Kluyveromyces lactis: one gene and its partner. The protein of the gene in region 1 binds, or shares a complex with, the protein of each later gene. Links are inferred from orthologs where the notes say so. Each region holds a gene or a part of one and is shown in the gene's direction. Other genes may lie near its edges.

Evidence for each region.
Region 2: the proteins of KLLA0_F21406g (region 1) and FIS1 are in contact, whole or in part, in a crystal structure (PDB 3UUX), measured with the Saccharomyces cerevisiae proteins. The link is inferred for Kluyveromyces lactis from reciprocal best matches to the Saccharomyces cerevisiae genes MDV1 and FIS1. Residues at the interface, in NP_012423.1 of Saccharomyces cerevisiae: Asn95, Lys96, Phe99, Arg100, Leu102, Thr103, Tyr104, Ile105, Ser106, Asp108, Leu109, Asn111, Glu112, Ile113, Pro114, Glu145, Thr146, Ser147, Leu148, Phe149, Gln150, Gly151, Phe152, Lys153, Tyr155, Leu156, Ala159, Gln243, Ser246, Ser249; in NP_012199.3 of Saccharomyces cerevisiae: Val4, Asp5, Phe6, Pro8, Asp12, Glu15, Leu17, Gln21, Ile24, Leu25, Gln28, Ala37, Thr38, Ile39, Gln40, Ser41, Phe43, Asn44, Trp47, Lys51, Arg59, Val62, Lys63, Thr66, Tyr69, Lys70, Ala72, Glu73, Ser74, Arg75.

The regions. Positions count from the first base shown.
Region 1 is NC_006042.1:1,995,709-1,999,824, reverse strand, and holds KLLA0_F21406g (WD repeat MDV1/CAF4 family protein), read left to right. Parts: upstream 1-1,447; coding exon 1,448-3,565; downstream 3,566-4,116. Other genes in the region: SPC34 (Spc34p), read left to right, coding at 194-1,021. UniProt on the Saccharomyces cerevisiae protein: Involved in mitochondrial fission. Has a partially redundant function to CAF4 in acting as an adapter protein, binding to FIS1 on the mitochondrial outer membrane and recruiting the dynamin-like GTPase DNM1 to form mitochondrial fission complexes.
Region 2 is NC_006039.1:696,645-699,352, reverse strand, and holds FIS1 (Fis1p), read left to right. Parts: upstream 1-1,597; coding exon 1,598-2,065; downstream 2,066-2,708. Other genes in the region: YRB2 (Yrb2p), read left to right, coding at 1-486; EFM4 (Efm4p), read right to left, coding at 569-1,267. UniProt on the Saccharomyces cerevisiae protein: Has a role in mitochondrial fission. Has a role in outer membrane fission but not matrix separation. Required for targeting MDV1 to the mitochondria.

The DNA.
Region 1 (4,116 bases):
ACGTAAAGATTTCGTAAACACCGAAAACAAAAAAACTAAAATGTAAACATAATCGAGTTAAAAGATAAATGAATCATTTGGAGTATTTCAAGAAATTACATAGTATTGGATGAAATATTGTATTCCATAGCAGTTTCCTGAAAGAGGGTGGTGCCTAATCTGTACGTGTAGTGTTTTTTAACAACATCAAAGGATGTCTGGATCATTAGATTACTGCCTGGATCAGATATCAAAATCCGCGGAGTCAATATCGACCTTATATTTCAAACCGCCAGGCATCTTTAGAAATGCGATTGTACCAGGCAACAGCAAAGTGTACTCAGATCTTATAGTAAAGCTTATAAGAGATGGCGATTCAATTGAAGAAATGTCATTATACAGTACAGATAACGATGGAAATATGAAGCGTAAGGATGGGAAAGTAGGGATATACGATCATCTCTTGGAGAGGGAAGCAACTTTGAAACGGAACAGAGCACTATGTTTACCAGATCCAAGACCTATTACCTACATACCGAAGGGGTTTTATCTCAGTCAAAACGATCATGTCATCCGAAAGAAACAGAAACCTGCAAGAGATTTTATCTTCGAAGGAAGTAACAGCGATGAGCTGGGAATCTACGACGTGCTATTGAAAAAATTCAGCAAGGACGAACAAATCAAGCAATTTCTTCATGCATTGCGGAATGGAAGTGTGATAACTGGCGAGGATGTATCAAGAAGGAAAACTCTTTTCGTAGAAGATTTCCCAATCTCGATTATATTATCTGTGTTCCGGGAAATTATAGATCAATGGCCTCTCACTGAATACAAGGAGAAATTTGAAAAACTAATGCAAATATACAATGGATTACAAGCTGATATTAATGAACTTCAGAAGAAAGTAGAGATCCAGGAGTTAGACTTCCAACACGAAGCGTTACCGGAAAAAACGTCAATATCATCTCTCATCGATAAAGAGGAGAAAGAAATACAGAAGCTCGAGAAACAGTTGGACCTTTTGGAAGGGAGAAATAAGTGAAATCTAGCAGCGGTACTAAAAATCCATTTGATACATTAATAAGTTATATCCAAGAAAAACCGATATGCTTGCCGAAATGAAGTGGAAAGATATATTTCACACTTCGGGAATTAATCTCGCACTGGAATGGAAATATTCATGTAAGTTTCAGTTCAGTATATATCATTTTTGTATTATTAAGGTTCTAATTTTATGATAACGAAATATATCGTAGTTCCATTTCTACGGCATCTTGCTCTTCTACAGAGAATACGGTTTTCGTTCTTTCATATGATTTTATTGCTGCAATGAAAGTTCTAATTTCAGAGTACAAAAAAGTAGATACATGGAAACAAAGAGTTGTTAGTTCCTATTACAACTTCAAATCTTAAAGAAACATATGTTGCGAGCAAAAGCCTCGATAAGAGTGTTAGTGGTGCCAGAACTATGAGTTCTAATACGGGAGACCAGTTTGCCAATCTGGGAAAGGCACTGTCTACCACGGCGTCTGTTCTATTCTCGTCGCAGCCGATGGAAGACACAATTCTTTCATACAGTAGTCCATATAAGAAATTGCTTCATGAGACAATTACTAATGCAGGTGGGGGATCATCACTAGTTAAAGTACGCCACGACGTGAAATTATCTAAAGGCAAGAATACAGGTTTCCAAGATATATATTCCAATAGCAAAGAGTTCTTTAAAAACTCTTATAGTGATCCAAAAACAACATTCAAAGTTTTAAGTTACTTGAGTGATGATCTACTTGAAGACGCCCCACGAGACACTATACCTCAGAACAAGAACATGATAACAGAAAATGGCGAGAAAAGATCTGCAAAGTCAAAAAAGCAAGAACCGACGTTATTTCAAGGATTTGAAGCATCTTTACCTGTTATTAATGAAACGATAGAACTACAGCAAAAACTTATAATGAATAGCGATATGAAACCCTTAACAGACTCTGAGTCCATCCCAGTTTACGCTGAAGAAGAAGAACAAGAGGAAGAGTTTAGTTTGCCAGACCATTTAAAAGCTGATAAACTTCTGCATTCTTACTCCGCATCCTTCTTGAAGGATGCCTCGAGGTCAATCACCGATAACCTGGATTTACTTGAAATCCAGAAAAATCTAGCAGCTAGCGAAATAAGAGAGCTAGATATCAAGCTGGAAAAGTTAAAAATGATGCGTGAACTAGTATTCAAGCGAGTGGCTAAAATTGAGCAGCATGAATTGTTTTTGGAGAAGCATTTGAACAACGTTAAGGATAGAATCGATATGATTATAGAGTACAACATGGATAAAGAATACTCATCGGAGGATGAAGAAAATATAAATGGATTATCTGAACTTTCGCCTAAAACTGGAGAAACTAACGAAACATATGAAACTGCGGCTACCACTCCTTTAGAAAACAAAGAAGAAGAGCACTCTCCATTGCTTTCCAAATCCATCTATCAGCAGCTACAAGACCACGAGAAGAAATCGGATATTTCCGAAAGGAAGAAACATAGTACTTCCAAAAAAATTAAAGATGTTGGTGTTTCTCACCGTAATCGCCGCCGTAAAACTTATCCAACTTTACAACAGTTCTATGATTCCGGATCTAAGATTACAAGCCTTCCTAAGGCCCATGATGAAGATATCACTTGCCTAGATTTTGATATGCCATTTGGTACTATGTGCTCTGCTGGCAGTCTAGATCACTCGGTAAAAGTATGGGATTTAAGTAAAAAAAAACAAATTGCTACATTGCATGGACACTTAGCATCTATCAGTTGCATGCAAATTGATCAATATAGCACCCTGATTACTGGTGGTCGGGACGCAGTTCTGAAATTGTGGGATATCGATAAGGCCATGGCTGATGAAGCGTCAAATTCATCTGAAGATAATGATGCATGTTTATATACCTTTGATTCTCATGTTGATGAAATCACCGCAATAAGTTTTGACGGTGACAATTTGGTTTCTGGTTCTCAGGATAGGACAGTACGTCAATGGGATCTGAATAGTGGTAAGTGCACCCAAACCATAGATATATCTTTCGCAACTGGCCCTATGCGGTCTCAAAGAAACATCCCTCTTCGTAATAGTGTACTTCTAACCAAGGAACCGCCGGCTATTGGAGCTTTACAATGCTTCGATGCTGCCTTGGCGACAGGTACTAAAGATGGTATCGTAAGGCTTTGGGATTTAAGATCCGGGAAAGTAGTACGTATGTTAGAAGGTCATACTGACGCCATCACCTCCCTTCAGTTCGACTCGGTCAATCTAGTTACAGGTGCAATGGACAGAAGTATAAGAATATGGGACTTAAGAACTGGTATACTTTCTGACGTATTTGCATATGAGCAACCGATCACTTCTCTACATTTCGATCTGGATAAGATTGTAATTTCAAACAATGAGCCTACTGTGAAAATTTACAACAGGAAAGACGGTAACCACTGGTTCTGCGGCGAAGATGATCCTGAACAAGGTAACGTGGATTTTGTTAGATACAAACACGGATATTTGGTAGAAGGGCGCTCGAATGGTGACATCAACACCTGGGCAATTTAGACCTACAAAATTGTTTCAGCTGAAATGAGAGTTATGACATTTGCCGTCATCTGGCACATTACTTCAAAAATAATAAATATTCTTCACTATTCCCCATAAATTAAATAGAAAAATAATTAGCATACAATGTAGGTGATCACTTGTATATAACTCACTAGTATAAAAAGACCATCCTCATAATACCTTGCTAGTTATTTTCGCGTGCAGTAGAATGTTTCTAGCTACAAGCCACTAACAAGACATGCTTCCAAGCCAAAAAAATCTAAGATTTAACAAAAAAGAAATGGTTGCGAAGAGATTCGAACTCTTGCATCTTACGATACCTGAGTGTTCCCAACTGTAAGGTTGGTTAAGATAGGTATCTTGAATCAGGCGCCTTAGACCGCTCGGCCACACAACCAATTTCGTGATTATTAGTTGAGAATGTCCACACTATAATGTAGATACCGTCTCATAAAGAGATTATATTAGAATAATCACTTGCAATATATGGCTTTACAACGGTATACAAATTATTCAAGATGTTAAAGACGTCCATGTTCATGCAAAAC
Region 2 (2,708 bases), on another chromosome or scaffold:
AAAGTAGCCTCCAAAGATAGTGTTGCAAAAGACAAGCAAACAGTCGAATCAGAAAAAAAGGAAAGTACTCCAGCCCAATCAAGAGAGCCAACAGTAAAATTAACGAAACAAGACGTCAAATCGGGCGAAGAGACAGAAGAATCGATCTTCCAAACAAATGCCAAGCTGTATCAGCTTACCGATATAAAGGATGGTTGGAAGGAAAGAGGAATTGGTGTTCTACATTTAAATAAAGATGAAGTTTCAGAAAAGTCGAGAATAGTAATGAGATCCCGTGGGTTATTGAAAGTAATATTGAATCTACCGCTTGTAAAAGGATTTTCTATTAAAAAAGGGTTCCCAGGTTCTCTGAACGGAGAAAAGTTCGTCAGAATATTAGCAGTTGATGAGAACAAGAATCCTGTCCAGTATGCCTTAAGGACAGGAAAAGCTGAAATAGCAGATGAGTTATATGAGAAAGTAAATGCTCATATCCTGGAGAATTGAATTGGACATATTACTTCTGATTCAAACAGACTTTGTAAAATTGACACTACTTAAAACCTTTTGAATAATACCTTAATTAAGATTATTTAGCAGAAGATTTGAGAAAGGCAACGCTGCATATTGTAGTTCCTTTGACACCACCGAACTCAAATATTGGATAGTTTACCGATTTCCATTTTTTCAACGTCTCTGTTTCAATAATCTTTATGAGTTCCTCTTCTGTAAAATTGCATGATGTAATCAACAGAATACTGTTTTCGCCTAATATCTTCTCTATCACTTTCGGATAGACATCTACCACGGTTTCATTGTTTTCAAATTTTATACCGCTTAATGCGATGGCATCTAGTGTACCTTTATCTAGAACGACATCGAATTTACCTGGGGCCCATTGTTCATTGAATATATCTGCCGTAGCAAAAGTTACGTTATCATTTTGGCTGTATTTAGTCTTGAGAATCTCAGCAGCAAACTCGACTGATTTTTCAGAGTAATCTACACCGATCATTTCACCTTTGAAACCTTCCTCCAATAGAGTGAACAAAAGATGACCATTTCCAGTTCCGAGATCAATCATTGAGCTGTCTTCTTTGATATTGTATTCGCCCAAGTTATCTAGTAGAAATTCGACCATTTTCTCCTCTGCATCGTTATCAGCGAACCAGCATTCTCCAGTATCCTCAGGGTTCTCCTCGAAGTTTTGTTTCTCTAATGAGTAGAAATCGTCCCAGTATTCCTTAGTTCCCAACTTAGAAGTATTCAATTTTGTTGTATCTTCCATGTTTCTAGTGTAAGTTTTCTGGACAAAAATGAACCAACGGATAAATTACCGCAATTATCAGTGTTGATATTTGGAACGGAACTTCAATTGCTGATCTTATTGCGATGCCTCTGTACCAATTCTCAGAGATGACTTTCTGTATATATTTGTATATAATCAAAACGTTTTCGAGATGTCTAGCGGACGTAAGAAAAATAAATTGAAAAGTTAAAACTGATAATTTGACATTGAATTTGAAACAATATCATTAACAACATCTGAAACGATCGAAGGTAGCAGTTATTTCTTTATCTTGAAATCACTCGCACAAGCTCAAAAAAATACTGCGGTATGACTAACATCCACTACCTTCCTGAATTGGAGGATTCATATTCTGCATTAAACAGCGATCAAATCGAAATTTTAAGGCAACAGGTGCTCAATGAAGGGGGCGAAATATCATCTATTCAATCACGCTTCAATTACGCCTGGGGTCTCGTCAGATCGACGAATAAGGAAGATCAGATGTTGGGTGTTAAGTTATTGACGGACATATACAAAGAATCTCCAATGAGAAGAAGAGAGTGCTTATACTATTTGACCATCGGATGTTACAAACTCGGCGAATACTCTACTGCAAAGCGGTACGTGGATGCACTAGTGCATCATGAACCTGAAAACAAACAAGCATTGATGCTACAAACCGCTGTAGAAAACAAGATCACTTCTCAGGGATTAAAAGGGATTGCCTTGATCAGTGCAGGAATCGCCATCGGCGCAACCACCATCGGCCTCCTTATCAGAGGCAGAAGGCGCTAACAAATTTCTTTCCTCCACTACATTCTCAAGAATAGAAATATAATCTCCAGGGAATATCCTGTCACCCATATTACTCGCTTGTAAATAATGTTATATGTATGTCCCTATCAATCTAATGAAATAATCTGCTAATGATCAAAATATATTCGAACTTGTGAATCTTCAATTCATGAATTGCATCACAAAGTTTACATTAAAAGATGAAATGTAGTTACAAAAGTGAGAACAACGAAGAAGTGAAATGTTTCTGTTACAATTGCTAGTAATGATGGATACATAGGAAGAATTGTTTCCATTGGACCAAGTACTGCCCCACAGTTCTAGTGGCCTTCGCCTTCGCCTTGGGTAAAGGCATTGGTATCGTATCACGTGACCATAGGAAATTTCCAGATTACCAAATCAGTATGATGGTCTCTCCTCCTTACTAACTGGCGGTATCACGTAGTCTTCCATTAAATAGTAACAAACAACAACAACCGAGTCTAATTCTGTCCAGTTTGCCGCAATTCACACACCTAGCACCCTGTTCTACGTCTGTTTTTTCCTCTTGTTTTGTCGAAGGCATCGTATCTTCTGTGGATACTGCACCCGTCATCACGCACTCGACTATTGGAAGCCCTTATTCACTCGAGAACACCAAATG